Arabidopsis thaliana: one gene and its partners. The protein of the gene in region 1 interacts with the protein of each later gene in a pairwise test. Each region holds a gene or a part of one and is shown in the gene's direction. Other genes may lie near its edges.

Region 1 (8,933 bases):
TATGATCCTTCTCTCATGATTCAATAGTTATTACAAAAACCTCATTGGCCCTTGTCTCGCTGATACTGTTTGTTTATGCAGGAAGGACTATCTGTATTAGCTAAATACAAACGACCATTGCTTGTACACGCAGAGATCGAGAGAGACTTAGAGATTGAAGATGGTAGTGAAAATGATCCTCGTTCTTATCTGACTTATTTAAAAACCAGGCCTACTTCATGGTGAGATATTGCATCTTTTCACTCTATATATATAAGTTCCTACAGAGTCATCATTGTACCTGAAAGGAATATTTATTTGAGCAATTAGGGAGGAGGGAGCAATCAGAAACCTATTATCGGTTACTGAAAACACAAGAATTGGTGGTTCTGCAGAAGGAGCTCATCTTCATATTGTACATTTATCTGATGCCAGTTCTTCCTTGGATTTGATAAAGGTATTCAAGAGTTCAAGCAGTAGAAGCACTAGAATTTGGTTGTATCTCATTACATATTTTTTTTGTCTTTGGATGGAGTAAAGGAAGCAAAAGGCAAAGGAGACAGTGTTACTGTTGAAACATGTCCACATTACCTAGCTTTCTCAGCCGAAGAGATTCCAGAAGGTGATACTCGTTTCAAATGCTCCCCTCCTATACGTGATGCGGCAAATAGAGAAAAATTGTGGGAAGCTTTGATGGTATAATATATATTTTACGCAATCTTTGTTGTGATACCTTACTCGTTGATTCTGAGGTTTTGATTTGATTAGGAAGGAGACATTGATATGCTGAGCTCTGATCATTCACCTACAAAGCCTGAACTCAAACTTATGAGTGATGGCAACTTCTTGAAAGCTTGGGGTGGGATATCTTCTTTACAGGTTCGTTTAGTCTTAAAAATGTAATATGTAGAAACTGTGAGAGCACAAAAAAACTCATGGAAGAGCCAATTGCAGTTTGTTCTTCCTATCACATGGTCTTATGGAAAAAAGTATGGAGTAACGCTCGAGCAGGTAACTTCTTGGTGGAGTGATAGGCCTTCCAAACTCGCTGGACTACACTCTAAGGTTCGTTATTATAAAAAAAAACGCAGCTTCAGTATTCTCTTTTTTGTCCATACACAGCACACTGGCATAATATAGACGTGTTTTTATTAGGATTCGGGGTCCATTTATCGCAGCTTATAAGTAATGGTTTAATTATAGGGAGCGGTTACGGTTGGAAAACACGCAGATCTTGTTGTGTGGGAACCTGAAGCCGAATTTGATGTAGATGAAGATCATCCAATTCACTTCAAACACCCTGTAAGTACACAGTTTTTTCTAGAAAGATAGCTAATGGTTAAGCTCGAATAACACGAATGTGTAATCTTTATGTTATGTTTGCTTCTTGTGGTGTACAATAGAGTATCTCAGCTTATTTGGGAAGAAGATTATCAGGCAAAGTGGTTTCGACATTTGTGAGAGGGAACTTGGTTTTTGGAGAAGGCAAGCATGCTTCTGATGCTTGCGGGTCTCTGCAACTTGCAACTACTTAACTTAAAAAGGGATTTAAAAGATCTTGATCTGCACCATTTAAACAAATGTAAATATGCGATTAAGAGTTGCTCTCATGTTGCAAGATGGTTGATGTAATGAGTGAGTCTTTTTTGCCAATTGTAAGTTTAAGACTCTCTAAATCTTGTTGTTGGCTTTAAGGTTAGTGGACTCATGTATATATTGTTGATGCAAATAATTTATATCGCTTAAGTAAATGATGTATATATTGTTGATGCAAATAATTTAAAAGTATACATAATATTTGCATTGCTTGTTGTAACTAATGTTAATTTGAGTCAACTAAAAAAAAAGATGTTATCTTTTTAAATCACTTTTTGTAAGTGTTCTAAGTATTTGCATCAGTTTATCAAAATCATATATATGAAAGTTGGTCAAAATCATATATATTTGTCATGTGTCTATTAAATAATTAATGTAAGCTCTTCAACTTCTAATTTATAGGTTAATGATACATTTATTATTTATTTTTATATTATTTTATTTTACATATTTAATGTACTATTACTAAATTTATTTTAATATTACATGATTTTTCAATAAAACCATTTTAATAGTTTTTTCATACTCGAATATTTTTTTTGTAATCCAAACTCAAAGTATGAGTATATAATAATCATGGATTAGTTAGTGATTTGAGTAGGTTATTCTCTTAAATTGATATTTATATAATAAATCACCGAGGGTGTAGAATACGTACAAACCTCCATCATTTCGTCTGAACCCTCATTTTGCGCCGATTCTGTCAACAATGGTTGGAGGAAGAGGAAAACCTGGAGGAAAGGGAAGACGCAGTGTGAAGAAACAGGAAGAGAAAGAAGTTGAACGTGGTAGAGATGAGTTTTTATCAAAATCAAAAACTCCTCATCCAAAAGGATTTCCTCCAATGCAAGATCTAAGCACCAACGTGGTCACTAATAGAGGTGGATTGCAGCCTATGAAGGTAATGTAGTAGTATATTGTTCGCTTTTTGTTAATTGTTTTCGGATCAGTATACTTTTTTTTCTTTTTTCTTAAGGAATTGTGGGATGTAGAATATGTTCACATCCCTAAGAAATTGAGCTTGAAAACGGTTCTTGACAATATGAAACAAACTATGGCTCAACGTGGGTTCTACATCCGATCTGTAGATGCTTATGTTCGGAAAAGGTTTCTCACCGAGAACAAACCCCTTATTAAACGTCTTCGCCGATCAGACGTGAACATAATTGAATCACAAGAATACCCAGAGGAATATCTAGGTAAGACCACGTTATATTTATCAAAGTTTTGGTAACCTTAATGACGTCATTAAAGAGTTTTGTTTTTGATTAAATTTTTCTAATGGCATTATCATGTAATTAATTACAAAAATAAAGGTTACATTTAAAATGTACTTCCCAAATAATATAGTAGGATAATCGATGTTAATTAAATAAAATGACTTTCAATTAATTGTTTTTAAAAAGTATTATGTAATTTCATTAATTAATATGAAGGCAAACTTTGCATACTAAGTTTTATATTTTTTTACACCACCAAAAAACCAAGGTCACTATATGTAAGAAAACTATGAAACCTCTTTTTTTGTGGGAGAAATGTAGGATTTTGACAAATTAAGTAAACATTTACATCACATTTTATAGTCGATGATTAGTCGTTAACTAGTATCAGTTTCCATTGATGTAAATTTTGTATCATTTTAAATAGTGATGTTACACAAAAATTAATAGATGCATCAATTATCTAAATGATGTAAGCTTATATATTATATCATTTAAAAAAAAAGATAGTATAATAAAATAACTAAAAATACAAATGCTAAAATAATTGTGGATTTTTAATATAACAGAATTAAACAATTCCACACATACAAAACAAAGGAGAAAAAAAGAATTGTAACCTAATTCTTAGACTGTTTTATGAGAATCCAATTCGATGAGGATTGATATATACAATTCCTCTAATTAGTATTAATTTTAGAAAGAAAAAAATAGGATTAAGATTTTATTAGTCAAACTTACTTTTAGTAGTTTTAATTTAAATGTATCTAATATTTTTCAAAATTATTTTATTTTTAAAGATTGTTATCACCTAGAATTTTAACATTTTTACCTTACTTAATTTCCAATTTTTTTTTCCTTCCGCTGACATATATAATTTTACTATTTTTATAAAAAGAAATTACATAAGTGAGCAATTTTAGCATCACATTGGGCACACAAAAACCCTAATTGTATCGTTAGGTCCTTTTATTTTGTTATATTTACATAAATCTCCTTTCTTTCTCCAGCAACAGAGTGTATTCTGCTCGATAATAAATTGGTAAATCACAACACAAAAAAAAAGTGTTAAGAGATCCTTCTCCCTCTTCGAAGATGAGCGGTACGGTGAAGGATATCGTTTCAAAGGCGGAGCTTGATAACTTGCGCCAGAGCGGCGCACCAGTCGTGCTTCACTTCTGGGCTTCTTGGTGTGATGCTTCGAAGCAGATGGATCAAGTTTTCTCTCATCTCGCTACTGATTTCCCTCGTGCTCACTTCTTTAGGGTTCGTCTCTGTTCTCTTGACCAATTCAAAATTTTATCACTTTCAATGAGGTTTTTGACTGTTATTGGTTTTATCTTCTTAGGTTGAAGCTGAGGAACATCCTGAGATATCTGAGGCTTACTCTGTTGCTGCTGTGCCTTATTTCGTCTTCTTCAAGGTAAAGTTACGTTTTTTTTGTTCCCTATGATTTGATCAAAACTTAGGATTTAGGGTTTTTGTTTTTGCTTAAAGTTGTTTGTCTAATTTGGTAGAAGAAGAAGACATTGATGAAGTCATACTTATTGATTCTTTATGTTGCTTTGTTTGGTTGCAATTTTCTGTCTTTATAGCATTGAGAGTGTGTTCAAAAGTTTGAATCTTTGTCCCTATGTTTTGATCGAAAGTTTAGGATTTAGGGTTTTTGTTTTGATTAGTTTGCGTCTCTGTTAGATTACTGAAAGCTGTTTATCTAATCAGGTAGTAGAAGAAGATGGTTCGCCTATCCATTTAGCTCCAGACTTATTGATTCTTTGTTTTAATTGGTTGGTTGCAATTTTCTGTCTTTATAGGATTGAGAGTGTGTTCAAAGCTTGAATCTTTGTCACTGCACTGTAATGATTGTTCTGAAAGTTGTTACTTTCTTCTGACTGTGAATTCGTTTTCTTATTGAAGGATGGTAAAACTGTGGATACACTTGAGGGTGCAGATCCATCAAGTTTAGCTAATAAGGTTGGCAAAGTTGCTGGTTCTAGTACTTCTGCGGAGCCTGCTGCTCCTGCAAGCTTAGGGTTGGCTGCTGGGCCAACGATTCTTGAAACTGTGAAGGAGAATGCGAAAGCTTCTTTACAAGACCGAGCTCAGCCTGTATCTACCGCCGATGCTCTCAAGAGCCGTTTGGAAAAGCTCACTAATTCTCACCCTGTCATGTTATTCATGAAAGGTATTCCTGAAGAGCCTAGGTGTGGGTTTAGCAGGAAAGTAGTTGACATTTTGAAAGAGGTTAACGTTGATTTTGGAAGTTTTGACATACTATCGGATAACGAAGTGCGAGAGGGTTTGAAGAAATTCTCTAACTGGCCAACGTTTCCTCAGCTGTACTGCAACGGAGAGCTTCTTGGTGGAGCTGATATCGCAATAGCGATGCACGAGAGCGGTGAACTAAAAGATGCTTTCAAAGATCTTGGGATCACGACAGTTGGTTCAAAAGAAAGTCAGGATGAAGCTGGAAAAGGAGGAGGGGTTAGTTCAGGAAACACAGGCTTAAGTGAGACCCTCCGAGCTCGGCTCGAAGGTCTGGTCAATTCCAAACCAGTTATGCTGTTCATGAAAGGAAGACCAGAAGAACCAAAGTGTGGGTTCAGTGGGAAAGTGGTTGAAATCCTCAACCAAGAAAAAATCGAGTTTGGGAGTTTCGATATCCTCTTAGATGACGAAGTTCGCCAAGGCCTTAAAGTGTATTCAAACTGGTCAAGCTATCCTCAGCTTTACGTGAAAGGCGAGCTTATGGGTGGATCAGACATTGTCTTGGAGATGCAAAAGAGCGGTGAGCTGAAAAAGGTCTTGACCGAGAAAGGGATCACTGGAGAACAGAGTCTTGAAGATAGATTGAAGGCACTGATCAATTCCTCGGAAGTAATGCTATTCATGAAAGGTTCACCAGATGAACCGAAATGCGGATTTAGCTCCAAAGTTGTGAAAGCATTGAGAGGAGAAAACGTGAGTTTCGGATCGTTTGATATCTTGACTGATGAAGAAGTAAGGCAAGGGATTAAGAATTTCTCAAACTGGCCAACTTTTCCTCAGCTATACTACAAAGGTGAGTTAATTGGAGGATGTGATATCATTATGGAGCTAAGTGAGAGTGGTGATCTCAAAGCAACTCTATCCGAGTAAGTAATATATACAAGTCTCTGTCTGCTGGTTTGCCTTGGTGAGAGAGAACATTTCAGTTATGGTAATAATATGTTTTAGGTGTTACAAACATTGATATTGTTGCTTCTCAAGCTTTGTCTTGTTATTTCTATTGCTGAGTCTATTAGATTCATAACTATTTTTCTCTCTTTGTATCAACATAATCTTTATTTATGGTTATCTTGACCACATTTGCTTTTAGACTGAGTAACAAAACAAAGAGTGGTTTAAACAAAGAAAGCTTGATCCGACGGCTAGGATTAACACCAATCTTTCTATGTTACAGAGTTTCTTAAGATCCGACGGCTGGGATTTTGTGTGATTAAACTCAAATTTCTTAGAATCAAACCGAATGGAAATCATTTGTTTAGAGTTTAGACCAAACTGCAATCGAGCATTAACCGAGACTTTGTACATTTAAACAAGATTTAAACCAAAAGTCATCATAATTTTAAAATTGATACTGATATTGACAATTAGTTAAATATTAAACTAAAATGGTTTTGGTTTTACATTTCAATGACTTTTAGCCAAAACCGAACCATAATTTTACCAAACCAAATTTAACATTCTCCAAACCAAATAAAGAACCTGTATAAACCGAGCGGACACTTAAACCGGAAAATAAAATTAAAATTCGGACAAAGAAATTTCGTTAAACCCTAAACCCCAAAGGTCTTGTTTGCTGTATCTCCTCCATCGCTCCTGCGCCGCGTTTTCTCTCTCAAGCTCTTAAAAAACCTTTCTTTGATTTGATAATCCTAAAATCGTTTTTCCGAGGAAACCCTAATTTCTTGTTCGAACTCGAAAGATGGGAATTTTCGAACCGTTTAGAGCAATAGGTTACATAACGAGTACGGTTCCGTTCTCCGTCCAGCGATTGGGTACCGAGACTTTCGTCACCGTCAGCGTCGGCAAAGCTTTCCAGATTTATAATGTAACGCTCCCAATCTTCATAGTTTCACTTGCGTGTTCTTTATTCATTCGATTCTGTTGTTAATTTGGTTCTCTTGTTGCAGTGTGCCAAGCTCAATCTAGTCATAATCAGTAAGTTTTTCCTTCTTCTGAAACCTAAAGTTTTGTCCTTTCAATCATTCTCTTACTCAAATTCATGCATTTAGAATTGGGTTTTGTCTATGCAGTGTAAATTTTCTTATAATCTAATTTGTGTTATCTTAAAGGTCCTCAGCTTCCAAAGAAAATTAGAGCTTTAGCTTCTTACCGAGACTACACATTTGTTGCGTTTGGCAATGAAATCGCTGTCTTTAGGCGTGCTCATCAGGTATATCTCATTGTAACTATAGTTAAGTTGCTGCTTTTTTTATATCTATGAGTACTTTGTTTATAGTTGGAATTCTTGTGGGTATATCTATAGGTAGCAACTTGGAGCAAACATGTTGCTAAAGTTGATCTTCTACTGGTGTTTGGAGAACATGTGCTTAGTCTTGACGTGGAAGGAAATATGTTCATATGGGCATTCAAAGGAATCGAAGAACATCTAGCTCCAATTGGAAATCTTCAGCTTACTGGAAAGTTTACCCCTACCTCTATTGTTCACCCAGATACCTATCTCAACAAGGTGAGTCATACTTGGTTCAGGATTTCAGTTTTTTTTCCCCTGGTGTCTTCTGTTGACAAGCCTTTCTAACTCTTTGCATGTTTCTCTTACTTGGAACCACATTGGTAGGTTCTTGTAGGGAGCCAAGAGGGTCCGCTGCAGCTATGGAATATTAATACTAAGAAGATGCTCTATCAGTTTAAGGGTTGGGGTTCATCTGTCACCAGTTGTGTTTCATCCCCTGCCCTGGATGTTGTTGCAATTGGTTGTGCTGATGGAAAGATCCATGTACATAACATAAAATTGGACGAAGAGATCGTAACATTTGAACATGCCTCGCGAGGTGCTGTTACTGCTTTGTCTTTCAGTACAGGTAAACACCTAAGCCCTGTAGTTCTATTTGTAAAATCTTTGAGCGCTTCTTGGTTTTATTACCTTTTAAATCTAATTTCGTAGCGGATAATAGTTTATCAATCTTTTCTTGCTGATAGATATCCTATGAGTGTAGTGACCAAAAATAATTTCGTCCATTTGTCTTTAAGTGGAGCTAAATATTTATTTTTCCATTACATAGCTTTACCATCTATGCACCCATTGTTTCATGAATTAGAATTGTCCATACATGTTTCAGGCTCAAGAGATCCATTAGTGTAGGTTGTAATTTTACTAGTAACTTTTGGTAGTAACCGTTCTATAGCTAATGGAAGTTCGATACTTTCCAGTTCTAACATGTGTTGTTTATCCTGTCATGTTAGATGGACGTCCCCTTCTTGCGTCTGGAGGTTCCTTTGGTGTCATAAGCATCTGGAATCTTAACAAAAAAAGGCTTCAGTCAGTCATTAGGGATGCACATGACAGTTCTATAATCTCATTGAACTTTTTAGCCAATGAGCCGGTGCTAATGAGTGCATCAGCAGATAACTCACTTAAAGTAAGCTAAGATTCCTCTTACCCGTTGAACCTATTTGCATCCACTTTGCCACATATAATATTTGTTTTATGCCTCGTTCCTGTAGATGTGGATTTTTGACACAAATGATGGTGATCCTCGCCTATTACGCTTCCGATCTGGGCATAGTGCTCCTCCTCTATGTATCAGGTAATTAGCTTGACGTCCACATCATACTGAATTATCTGATTGCTTCCATTTAGCTTTTCTTTCGTTATTGTGAGACTTTATACATTTTGGTGTGTAAGTAGCATTTATGATCCCTATTCGTTGTTAAAGTAATTCCATTTATGATCCCTGCCAGTTGACTATCTGTGTAGTGATGAATATTTGTGTTTCTTAATAAGAGTATTTACTTCATGGTGGCTATATCGAGGGCATGCCAATAAAGGGTCTCTTAATCATATCTGACTTCTACTTGTGGTAGGTTCTACTCTAATGGACGGCACATTTTGTCTGCTGGCCAGGATCGTGC
Region 2 (5,512 bases), on another chromosome or scaffold:
GACAAAGATGATTCACCAAGCAACTCCACATGTATGTCACAACATTTCATTAAATACTTTTCTCTTACTCCTATTTAATAATTACTCCTTAGATACATCTTTCTGACAACAATTATAAACTTTTTTAGAATTACTAAAATGAAACTACTGGCACAAATTGAAACCCCCGAAATTTTCATTTTTTATTTATAAAAAAAACTGTATAAACATTATGGTCAACAATAAATTATATACCAAATCTAGTTTTGGTTTGTTAACTATTTAATACCTAACTTATAACCAAAAAGCATGTCATTATCACTTTTAAACTCTTCATTTAATCTAATCGAATAAAATGTTTAAATAACTCCATCTTTTATGGAGTACATTTTATTTTTCTATTTCTATTCATTCATTCCGTGCTTTACACATCAACGTTGAAATTAAGAACCAAAATTTAATTTAAAAAATCACGTAATACAGTAAAACCTATCAATAAATGCATACGATGCGACTTGCCACTGAAAAGAGTTTGAACCATATTAATCTTATTTCTCCTTAACCGGATTCGGTTTACCATAGACCAAACCCAAAACCGGCTTCAACTAATTACACTCAATTCCTCGGGAGATTGTTAATTAAACAGTAAACAACCCTCTGACTCACTAGACTTCTGAATCTTTCACAAAAGAATACGTCTTTGTAGGCTTTTGCTTTCTACCGTTGCTTACAAGCTTCCTCTCCACCGGATTCTCCTTCAATTCTCCATCTTTATTTGTGTAATAAGAATCCAGAATTTGCAATAACGAGCTCTCTTTACCTTCTTTACTCATCATCTGTTGCTTCTTCTTCTCTGGGTTATCTCTCTCTGAACCAGAATCTTCTTCATCCTCTGAGAGTGATGGTTCATATACTGGAAGCTTTTTGGTCGTCGGGTGGGTAGTTGTTGTATCAGAAACTGGACCAAGTTCTGCGAATGCCAAGTCCGAATCATCTTCTTTTGACTTGGCATTTGGTGAAGGAGTTGAAGGAAAGATGTATCCAGATGCTATTCTCACTCCATGCATGACTCGAATCAGAGACTGCAGGTTGTCGTAACCGAGCTTGTCAACCGCTAAATGGTACCCATACTCCTCTAAGAAGTCTTTCCTGAAACGAATCAGGCTATACCCTTCAGGGTGTTCCTCTGTTATCTTCTTTATCATCTTCTGACAATCCGCTATTGCATTACTTTTGTATCTTTCCAGCTCTTTCCGGTCCACAGAACCAACAGAAACTCCAGCATGAGCAACGTTCTTGCCGCTTTTCTCACCATTTTGTTTCTGCCACTGTGATTTTGAAGAATCCGAGAAGATTGAGCTCAAACCGTTTGAAGCATGACGGTGGCCAGGGCTAGATCCTTTGATGATTCTGAATGGTAAAGAAGAAGATGGGGTTTCTTCAATCCATTTCTTTTCTGATATTAGCAAAGTAACTAAATGAAGCATGCTTGATTCATCGAGCAGTCTGAGACACGAAGGCCCTTCCTCCTGCACATTTTTAGCCATCACCTCCCTGACCAGGTTAAGACGGAACAGCATTAGCTGAATACTCGTCCCAAAAAAGACAACAAATGGCTAATGCAAGAACCAATTGTAATAGTTCTGAACCTAAGATAGATTTACATATTAATCAATATCTAATCAAAGTCCTGCCAAATCAGGAGGGAAGAGAATGTACGCACCTTGTCCTCGAGTGAGATACTATAGCAAAGCCTCTTGGAGAATTAATGAAAGATTCAATATCACTCCAAAAATACTCTTTTGCAAATATGTCTTGTACTTGAGAATCAACATTGACAAGCTCCTGATTCCCACTAGAGTCTTTGCTAGACTTTGTATTCTTTCCCCAGAACTTGAAACTCTTCAAAAGGCGACCTAAAAAGCCTGGACTTGCATCTTTATCTTTACTGTCTACGTCATCAGCTCCAACTTTTACCTCATCGACCGACTCAGCAACGAAAGAAGGTGAGATTTGAGACATGGGCACAGTTCCCTGACTCGATGACTTTAAGTCCTTATCCTCTTTATGTTTGTTTCCACTTCCCTGACTTGATGACTTTAAGTCATTATCCTCTCTATGTGTGTCTCCACTTCCAGAAACGCTCTTCATTTCTGGGAGATGCTCTAATTCCATCTCAGGTGAACCATACCACAGTCTTTTTAGCTTTTGAAAAAAGCCATCTTCCATGGACGAATCACTCCACGCAACAAGAGCGACTTGATTCGTCTCGACGGGTTTAACATTTGCCTTAACATCCTTCTGGCCGACCAGAATTGGGTCTTGAGAACTCTCTGATGATTCTTCTTTAACAATTTTATCACTCTCCAATACCTTTTCCTGCTTCTTTCCAAGTAAGCCATCTCTTCTTCTTTCAGCAGCAAGCTCTACATCGCTAATTAGCTTTGGTGATGGAGCATTAACAGTTTCCTTATCTTTAATCTTCTGATCAACAGCAGTAGACAAACGAGGACTAGAATCAAGCCGCATCGGAGGCTTCTTTTCGGTAACAGCCCGAATCATAAACAAGCCTTCACTTACTGTAGTAACCTGTAAGATATCTGGCATGGATAAAAGAAACTTCGAAAACTTCTTATGTCCATAGAAATCTTTATCAATAGCCAAGTTGCTCTTACTCAGCTCAGCACGTAGTTCTGTAATGGCAGCCCCCTTGGGATATAAACTCACTATCGAACGAATCTTATCAACAACTTCTTTTGGAATAGGACGAAGGTTAACAACAGCATTCGAATTCACAGACTCGGATAGTTCTTCGATTTTCACACTAGACGAAGATTGCTCAGTAGTGGTAGCAATAGCAAATGGATCAAGAAGAGGAATCCTATAGTGACCATACCAAGAGTTATAAGGACCATCAGGAGGCTGATTAAAATGCTTACCAGTAACACACTCTCCTTTAATCAAAGCATCCCAATCCCACATAATAGAAGCAGCACTACACAAAACACCAGGAGCTGATGATTTACTCGCAAGCAAAATGTTGTAATTGTTCATCCTCAATCTATGTAACACACTTGCAAACTCCTTATCACTAGAGATTAGCAAAAGATGAGCTGGTGGTGGATTCTGAGAAACCCAACACATAAGATCTGTGATTAGAGATCTATCAGCACTGTTCTTACCACCGTTAGGAACATGAGTGAGACTGATTCCTGTAGCGGAGAGAGCGTCTTGGTTTGATCTGGGGAGCTGTAAAACGTCACCGAAGGCTGTGATTGTGATTGGTCCTTTGATTCCGCTGTTTCTGATAGCGGCGGTGATTGATTGTGCTACTTTGTAGACATTGGTGTCTACAGGTAAGTTACAGCTCAGGAAGTCCCACCAGACCGAAACCCTAACGGATCGGGACTCTTCGTCTTGCTGAGGACGTCGAGAGGGAGAATGGCTGGATCCGGAGACGAAATTGGAGCCGGAGGTGGTTGTGGTGGAGAATGGAGAGGAATGAATGTTAGTGATGAAAAGGGTAATTGTTCGACGGTGAGATTGGGTTGTGGAGGAAGAAGAGAGGCGGAAGAGAAGGGATTTGGATGGTAAAGATCCAAACTTCATGGTCGGAGAGCTATTTTTGCTCCGGGAAATGGAGAGACTGAGAGGGTTTTAGGAGTGAGGAAGACGAAGTAAAGGAAAGCAGAGCTTAAACCCTAGTTATTATTTTGGAATTGTCGATAACCGAATGGTATCCCAATTGAACCAAACTAAACCGTACTCTCGCTAAACCAAAACCAAATAGCGTATGGTTTAATATTCTAATTCAATGAGTACAGTAATTAGGGATTTCAATTTTTGTTTGAGAGAGAGAGAGAGAGATGGTGACGAAGGAGCAAGTCGAAGCTTCATTGACTTCGAAACTTAAGCCAATTCATCTCGTGAGTGTTCTTATACTGCTTTCTTCTTTCAATTTCATCTATTGATTAGGGTTTGAAACTTTTGTGGGAAACTTTGAAACCCTAATCATCAAATTGATCTGGGAAAATTGCCAAATTTGAGATTTTTGACCTGCTCACTTTGATCAAAATCATACACTTTGATAGTTGGATCATAAGAGGTACTATGTATTGTAATAATCTCAGCATCTAGATTATACATCACTATGTGTTGTCTTTCAGCTCTGAAACAGAATATAAAAGGTGGTTGTTTGCGTAGTTAGGTGTAATTTGATGCAGTGTGATACTGAGCTCAGGATTTGATGACGTAGTGTTCCTGATGTATTAGCAACTTAGTAGTGAGTGTTCTTGTCGGAAAATTTTATTTGTGTCATGGTTTTTTGTGAACTAGAACTCAAAAAGCAGATCCAAGGATGTGTATAGTTTCTTTGCTTTATAACATGTGAAGATTGAAGTTACTTCAATGTCAATCTATTTCCCTTTTCACTTGATTCATGTGTTCCAATTGTTTCAATCTTTAGCTTTTAGAATTTTTTAGTGACATTGTTTGTTTTTGTGTGTACCAGGAAGTCATTGACATATCTGGAGGGTAAGTACCGGATTGTCAATACACATTTGATTCTCTGGCTTATGGCATAATTTCTTGTTCTTAATATCAGCAAAACTGTTTATTGCAGTTGTGGTTCGAGTTTTGAAGTGGAGGTTGTCTCTGAACAATTCGAAGGGAAGAGATTGCTGGAGAGGCATCGTATGGTGAATGCTGCGCTAGAAGAAGAAATGAAAGAGATTCATGCTCTCTCTATTAAGAAAGCTCAGACTCCACAACAATGGAAGCCACCATCACAAGACTCTGCAACCTTAACCAAAGATGCCTGAATTTCTGTTTTTTAAAAGCCTTGTGACAAAGAACAGAGCATTTACTATGTTGATACTTTGTGGTTACTGTACTCCGATTACTGCTTTTGATGAAGTGTAAACACTTTTTTAAAACATATGCAATTGGTTGCAAAATATAACAAAAATTGGGTTTTTCTCAATTTAGATGGAGATTTTTTTGAGAATTTTACCATGACACCATCTTAAAAAAGAAAAAAAAGACCAATGGGATTGGCTAAATTTTATAATAGAGTCAGTGCAGTGTATGGTGGGGGGGAGAGATAGATGCTAAAAGATGGATAAAATAACCAAAAAAAACTGTCCATTCTCCTCCCCATAAATCTATCTCTCTCTCTTTTTCCTCAAATCCCATCTTCTTCTTCTACTTCTTATTAAGCTCCATTGGGTTTAGAGATTCTGGTGTATAAACTGCTAATGACGAGTAACCTTTTCCAGCCACCATCAATGGCAGCTTCACGAGGAGCAATCTCGAGAAGAACAGGAAACGTGAAAGTATTAGTCTCTTTCACCAGTTCTAATGGCAAAACGCTGAGTTTTAGTGACAACTCATTTAGGCTCAGACCCATGTTCATCGGGAAAGTCACAGAACAGAGTTCTTGTTCCTCCCCAAATGAACAACAACAAGATGAAGAACAAGAACAAGAACAAGAAGAGATTACAGTTTCTCATATAAAAGAAGAGCTCTACGAAGC
Region 3 (7,020 bases), on another chromosome or scaffold:
CTCTGAAGCAACTTCTCTTCCCAATTTTTATTTTGATTTAGAAATATACGTAATACTAATAAAATAATAATTAGTTGATTGAATATAGTTTGGTTTTTGGTATTTAAAATGTATTTATTTGCCAATCTCTCTACCGTTGTGGAAAAGTAGGCAAAGTATAGAGTCCCCTACCGTTGCGACAATGATAAGTTTCTCTCACGTTGTCTCATTCCTCTCTTTATTTTGTTTATTATACTCACCAAAATTTTATACTATTTTTTAATTAATAGTTTTATTTTTATTTTATAATTTTGTACATTTTAAAAAGTTTTATTATTATTAGAATACTCTGCAGATTTCAGATGGCATATTGCAAAACTGCTATAATCCAAATGAGGAAAACATAAATACATGTAAACAATCCAAGAATGAATTGGTCCAATAGGAAGATATTTTCTTAGAGAGAGATATTTCATTTTATATGAATTCAGATTTTTATATTTTATTTAGTAATATATATGTAATTTCGGTAAGTTTGCTTTCTTTTTGTAGGTGAAGATAACAATCCTGATTAATTTTATGTTTGGCAAGAAATAGTATATGATTCTCAACTTTCTAATTAAATTATTTTGGGTTCGTTGTATTTGTTTAGTCTTTTCTGATATGCTTTTATTCCAAAGAGGTTATATGCTTCTTCTTCCTTTTTCCCTCTTCTTTTATACTAGCTTACTAAATTAATAATTAGAGGTATGCTAATCTTAATTAAATTATATTGCAAATTGCTTTTATAGATATTGTAAATGACGTGTGTACCTTTTGTGTGGCCAGGTCTTGTCAAATCTTTCGCTGAAAACAGGTTATTGTGTGTTATATCAACAACTTATCATTATTAACACAAAATATCTTTGTAACATGGATTAAAAACAAAGCAGCTAGTATATATTATTCACATGAAAAGATTAAAAAAAATTGTGCGACTAGTAGATTTGTGATCGCCCCTTTATAAAGTTTGACTAGATCACTAGACTACATTTAATTATTTACAAAGTCTCAACGATTCCTTTCATCGTGAATGGGATATTATTGGGAATAAAATCACGAATTTCTAAAAGTTGCACAATAATATATATTTTTTTGTAAGATGGTACACAATAATATTTTAGTTATACTATAACCAAAGAAAAAAAAAAACTATTTACACCATATTAATTATTTCTATATGAAGAGATTTTCTACTTAACGCGCTTACTTTCGTATTAAGATAAAGTATCTACGCACTGTAGACACGTACGTCGGTGCATCATGCATGTAACCCTTAAAAGGCCTTTTTACGGCCCGTTACTGGTCCATATTAAATTCTCTACATAACCCTTTATACTTAGCCCAAAACAGAATTTCATTTTTATTTCTTTTTCGAAAATGGAAGAAATTCTCACTGGTGAAATTCGGTGAAAGAAAATGAAACAACAGTTACAGAGAAACAAAGAACGTACGAGAGAAAAAAACAAATCAGAGAGCTGAAGCTTTCTCTTGCTCAGCTATGGAGTCACGAACTGCTTTCAAAAGCAGAGGCATTAGCTTCTCGTTAGCAACGATAATGCCTGTGTCCAAATCAAGATACTTCCCTTTCGAGAAATCCAGTGGCTTTCCTGCTGCATCTGTCACTATTCCACCCGCCTCTGCACCAAAAAGAAGAATCAACCTTGCATTCCTTATCTATTTACATCCGCATGTCGACACTATAAAATTAGCTTCATAGAGAGTAAGCTTTAATGTTACCTGTAACAACTATAGCACCAGCGACATGGTCCCAAATCTTTTCGCGGTATCCTTTATGAGGAAACCGTAAGTATATAGCTCCATCTCCTCTTGATAAAGCTCCATACTTTGCTTGGCTATCAATACGGACTGGTGGAGCTTTGACACCGAGTTTCTGTATATTACAACATAGAACATGATCAAATGGATGAGGAAAATTAGTTAGCTATTAGCTGGAATCACATGGAAGGAAAGAAGCAATTTACATTGGCAATGGAGCTGGATAAGTCATGTAGAGAGTGAGCTCCTTCGAATGACTCGAAGAACGATGCCTCTTCAGGATTCTCAACACTAGAGACTTGCACTTTTACAGGAGAAGATTTTGAATCTAGGAGCTGCATATATGTCCCTGAACCAATTGTAGCAAAGAAGAGGCATCCAATTTCGTCTGACGAAGATTTGTTCTTGTTGTTTCCTGCTATGGATGCTAACGGCAAGTTTGGACAAGCAAGCACACCTAAAACTACTTTCCCTTCCTCGAGCAATCCTAGTGCTACTGCGTATTGATCTCCCCTCAGAAATCTAAAATCATGAAAATGCTCAGTGTCAGGAACATAACATCTGACTCAACATTCTATCAAATTTACATTTTCTCTGAAATAAGAAGATTTGACTTTAGGCTAGTTAGTTTTAAAACGTACCCTTTAGTGCCATCAATTGGATCCAAGACCCAGTGTCGACCATTTGGACCACCTTCAGATGTTCCACAGTCAATGGCTCTAAGTAGATCATCAGTAGACAAAGTAGAGCCATTAAACGATTCCTCGGTAGCCAAAGTGTCGTTCACGAGTTTTGTGATGCGCTCCAGAGTATCCTGAGAACCATCCTTGCGTAGATCGCCTGAGTCCTATATAGATCATTTTAGACAATGTGAGTCCATAAACACAAACTCAAAGATAAGTAAAGTGTGAGACATCTAACAAGGATTTATTAAGCAGTTTCACCTCTTCAGCCACCAATGAAAAGGGTTCAGAACTGAGCTCTTTTTCTAAGACTAAACTAACAACTGCTTGTGAACCTGAAATTCAACACAAGACAGATCAAATTAAGTGATTTCCTAACAATCTCAGTAACATTCAAAGAGAAGAGCTTTTTCTAATCAGGGACAGGTATAACAAACTAACCATAATCAGCAACGGTCACTGGACTTTTATCAGATTTTGATTGCACATCTGATTGCAACAAAGCCTTTTGAACTTTCTGAAACAAACCCAAAACACAAAGATAAGATTTTGATCAAAGATTTACACGAGCTTCGTATGTAGAGGACCATTACACTATATCACTAGAATCTATTCCCAATTACAGATGCAATGCACAATAAACACAAAATGTTAAACGAAATTTGGAAGATTTACAAAATGGGTTTCTTAAAGAATCAAACTTTAGAATCTATGGGTCATGATTGAATCGAAAAAACCCTAACCTGACAGAGACGAGCAGCGAGTGAAGCAGCTTTCTTAGCAGCATCAAGCTCTTTCTCGTAAGCCATCGATGAAACAACTCTGAGAGTAACAAATGAAGGAGAAGAAGACTTGCGTCCGAATACAGAAACGAGACGGTTCGATGAATTTCTAGGTCTCGAATTCGTTCTTACTGCTACAAATGATTGAAGCGGAGCCTTCGCTGTTCGAAAACAATTTATAGACATCATTCGCTTTTCAAGAAGATAAATATATGTCTTCACATTTTCTGATTGCAGAGACAATTATTATTACTTTTTTGAATTTCCCATTTACACCAGTGTACTTATTTATTCTCTGAACTTAAACCCTAAACTTTATTTTAGATCAAGAAAGGCCATATTTGCTCTGTTGGTTTAGGGGTCCATGTGGCACCAATTGAAAGAACAAGTACAAACGGTGAAAATCATAAAAATAAAAAACTTTAGTGATCTTCGTAGATTGGTTGTTGAGTTTTGGGCTAATCGCACGTGGATGTTGTGGTTGAAACATAAGTGAATTTATAGGTGGTGAAGATACAAAAAGGCTTCTTGATGAATGAAGAAGCCCAATAAAAACGGTTCTGGGTTAATATATTTTGAGGGAATCAAAAGCCCAAATAATTTTCTTCAGACAAGAGCTACAGCTTTGCCACGTTGTCCACATGAATCATGTTGAAATTTGGTCTATGATTTTGGGTTATGGATAAATCATTAATGACGCAGAGACAAGACTAAAAAAGATTTCTAGATTGATGATGGCGTGTGAGAGAGCAAAATACGTTTTGATTATTTGCCGGCGCAAGCAAAGGGTCACGTTCCACTAACTTTCAAGATTCAACAAAACCCACTTTCTATAGTTTTATATGTTCATTTTTTTCTGCTAAAGTATTTTTATATGTTCATATTTCTCTTTTGTGCCATCTTTTTAATAATTTAATCTTCCTACAGAAGATAATCTCCAACAAAAGTTTTTTCTTACAAGAAAGATTCCGAGAAGTCTTTTGTGTTTTCAACAAACTCCAGGTTGATATATACTTGCCACTTGTGTAACTGTATCTTTTATTCTTGATTTTGATTGGTTTCTTCTCCAAAGATTGGATTTCTGAAGGTTCTTGTGCTGCAGGGTTTTTTCAATGAACATGAGCAATAAACGTAATCAGCAACCTTCGTATATTGCTGATCATTTCAGCAGTTTGGATCAGGTCTCATAAACTTACTTAGTTATTTCTTGATTTTAGTCTCTTTCATAGTGATGAATTTCTTGTGAACTTTGCTTTTTAGGTGATAACTTCTCTGAGAGAAGCTGGACTTGAATCTTCAAATCTGATTCTAGGAATTGACTTTACCAAGAGCAATGAGTGGACAGGTAATTATTTGATTTGATAAAAAATGCTACACATGTTTACGAAAAGATTCAATGGTTTTGGTTAATGTTCTGAATTTTCATTGCAGGGAGATATTCATTCAATAGAAAAAGCCTTCATGCCATTGGTAAAAGACAGAATCCATATGAGAAAGCAATATCGATTATTGGTCGTACTTTGTCTCCCTTTGATGAAGATGATCTTATACCTTGTTTCGGTTTTGGCGATGGTTAGTTTCTTATTTCTTGCTTTCAAGATGAATGAATAAGATAAACCAAAGTTCTTAATGGTTTTATGTTTTCTTCTTCCTGCAGTAACAACGCGAGATCAATATGTATTCAGCTTTTATCCCGAGAACAAAAGCTGCGACGGATTGGAAAACGCAGTTAAAAGATATAGAGAGATTGTCCCACATTTGAAGTTGTCCGGTATTTTTGAACTTTCAAAAATGGAGCAGTTTTGTTCTCTCTTATCGTAAAGATTAATCAGTGTATTCTTCCCTCACAGGTCCTACCTCGTTTGCACCGGTTATTGATGCTGCCATCAACATAGTTGAGCAGAACAATATGCAATACCATGTTCTCGTCATTATCGCAGATGGTCAGGTCACAAGAAATCCAGATGTGCCGCTTGGTCGACTTAGTCCACAGGAAGAAGCTACTATGAACTCGATAATGGCAGCGAGGTAAAACTATTCAATAAGCTCATATTCATGATCAGACTTCATATGTATACTAATGATGTTTGATATAAATTTTCCAGCCATTACCCATTGTCGATAGTCTTGGTTGGAGTAGGAGATGGACCATGGGACACAATGAAACAATTCGATGACAATATTCCTCACCGTGAATTCGATAACTTCCAGGTAATATAATAAAACCCTGAATAGCTCTGTTTTGTTCCTGAAACATGAATCATGAAAAACTGTGTTTTGTTCCACAGTTTGTAAACTTCACGAAGATAATGTCAGAGCACAAAGATGCGGCTAAGAAGGAGGCTGCTTTCGCACTCGCAGCTCTCATGGAGATCCCTTTTCAATACAAGGCTACATTAAGTCTCAAGTAAATGCAATAAAAAATTTACCGTTGGAAACTACTTGTATCACTCACTGTTTATGGTCTTATTGCATTAGATTCTTTGCCAACTAAACCAACCTTTGATTGTGCTTATGAACAGTAGAAAACCAGTGCGCAGTTCCCATCAGCACCACAAGCCACTCCCGCCACCACCAGAGGTTATAGAGCGTGACAATGCTGTTAGATCGGTGCCAAATCAGATGACAGAAACTGCAGAGAAAAGTGACAGACTCGCTCCTTCCACAGTGCCGGTAAATACTCTATTATTTCTGCCTTTGTTTCTGTTCTTTTGTCAATGAGTATACTCAGTTTCTCTGATACTGAGATTTACATTCCTTTTGTTTTTCAAAAAGGTATGCCCGATTTGCTTGACGAATCCAAAGGACATGGCTTTTAGCTGCGGTCACACGGTATGTGAAAATTTCAAAGGAACAATTATACTCTTACTTGTTCTATGAACTGTACTGCTTCTAGATCGATTTTGTGACATCTCCGATACTTTTTATTTCAAATAAAGACATGCAAGGAATGCGGAGTTGTTATCACAACATGCCCACTATGCAGACAACCAATAACAACAAGGATAAGGCTGTACACTTGACTCGGAAAAATTCTTAGAGATGAGACAAATTATATGGTTAAGCACTTGAGCTTCATGTTTATACTTCTGTAGAACATTGTACAGTCCAAGCAGAAGAATTGTAAAGCATAAATCTCGAGTTGTAGTTCATATGTAATTCTTAGCCTGCCGAAACAAGGAGATATGCGAGAAGAGTTCTCTTTTTGTATTAATCAACAGCTACGTACAAATAAGCCGAAGAGGTCCTTTTTATAACATTCCAAAGAGACCTACAAGTTCTAAATCAAGCGGAAAGTGTAACAGCAACGATACCAATGGAAAAAAGAGAGAGCTAAAAACAACCTTAAATACTTATTAGAAGCTCCAACGGTCGAGTTGTTGCCTGGCTACAGCCATGTCTTTTTGTGCTTTCATTCTCCGGTAAAATATTGGACAATCTCGACTGTAAAAGACCAATAAGAAATCCAGAAAGGAAATTGGATCAGAACCTATTTACCTGCTGAAAGATTTCTAAAAGAAATTGATATCGATAAAAATATAAGCAAACCTGGTGCACAAGACATCTTGATGAAGAGAGCCTTGACACTCCTGGCACTGTGTCCACAGCCTCCCAAAAACCTCTTCAAGCTCAGCCACTGAATAACACAACGAAAGTATCAAATTTTATAGATATATCAAAGAGTCTATAGGAAAGGGAAAAACGGCAGCATACCTTGAGACACGTTTTTGCAATATAACTCGGCTTCTCTTCCCTTG

What was found.
Region 2: the proteins of GRXS17 (region 1) and AT5G09830 interact in a two-hybrid assay, tested with the Arabidopsis thaliana proteins (2 studies listed by BioGRID).
Region 3: the proteins of GRXS17 (region 1) and RGLG3 interact in a two-hybrid assay, tested with the Arabidopsis thaliana proteins (one study listed by BioGRID).

The regions. Positions count from the first base shown.
Region 1 is NC_003075.7:2,514,882-2,523,814, reverse strand, and holds GRXS17 (thioredoxin family protein), read left to right. Parts: upstream 1-3,752; 5' UTR 3,753-3,890; coding exon 3,891-4,061; intron 4,062-4,143; coding exon 4,144-4,218; intron 4,219-4,712; coding exon 4,713-5,933; 3' UTR 5,934-6,219; downstream 6,220-8,933. Other genes in the region: ALN (allantoinase), read left to right, coding at 82-221, 310-436, 520-675, 748-858, 934-1,044, 1,183-1,281, 1,383-1,514; AT4G04940 (transducin family protein / WD-40 repeat family protein), read left to right, coding at 6,763-6,888, 6,971-6,998, 7,133-7,233, 7,327-7,530, 7,639-7,882, 8,265-8,440, 8,526-8,608, 8,886-8,933. UniProt on the Arabidopsis thaliana protein: May only reduce GSH-thiol disulfides, but not protein disulfides. Participates probably to the maturation of iron-sulfur proteins and to the regulation of the redox state of the BOLA proteins.
Region 2 is NC_003076.8:3,057,103-3,062,614, reverse strand, and holds AT5G09830 (BolA-like family protein), read left to right. Parts: upstream 1-3,789; 5' UTR 3,790-3,845; coding exon 3,846-3,905; intron 3,906-4,489; coding exon 4,490-4,512; intron 4,513-4,600; coding exon 4,601-4,799; 3' UTR 4,800-5,012; downstream 5,013-5,512. Other genes in the region: AT5G09840 (Putative endonuclease or glycosyl hydrolase), read right to left, coding at 645-1,533, 1,703-3,588; AT5G09820 (Plastid-lipid associated protein PAP / fibrillin family protein), read left to right, coding at 5,235-5,512. UniProt on the Arabidopsis thaliana protein: May act either alone or in interaction with glutaredoxin as a redox-regulated transcriptional regulator, or as a factor regulating Fe-S cluster biogenesis. The GRXS17-BOLA2 heterodimer binds a labile, oxygen sensitive iron-sulfur cluster.
Region 3 is NC_003076.8:25,606,271-25,613,290, reverse strand, and holds RGLG3 (Copine (Calcium-dependent phospholipid-binding protein) family), read left to right. Parts: upstream 1-3,984; 5' UTR 3,985-4,264; intron 4,265-4,303; exon of another isoform or gene 4,304-4,364; 5' UTR 4,365-4,374; coding exon 4,375-4,443; intron 4,444-4,522; coding exon 4,523-4,607; intron 4,608-4,693; coding exon 4,694-4,834; intron 4,835-4,919; coding exon 4,920-5,033; intron 5,034-5,112; coding exon 5,113-5,290; intron 5,291-5,367; coding exon 5,368-5,473; intron 5,474-5,550; coding exon 5,551-5,669; intron 5,670-5,784; coding exon 5,785-5,935; intron 5,936-6,037; coding exon 6,038-6,094; intron 6,095-6,201; coding exon 6,202-6,285; 3' UTR 6,286-6,520; downstream 6,521-7,020. Other genes in the region: SAL1 phosphatase-like protein, read right to left, coding at 1,489-1,658, 1,759-1,912, 2,004-2,319, 2,439-2,644, 2,742-2,815, 2,922-2,997, 3,224-3,289; AT5G63960 (DNA polymerase delta subunit 1), read right to left, coding at 6,619-6,706, 6,812-6,899, 6,977-7,020. UniProt on the Arabidopsis thaliana protein: Possesses E3 ubiquitin-protein ligase in vitro.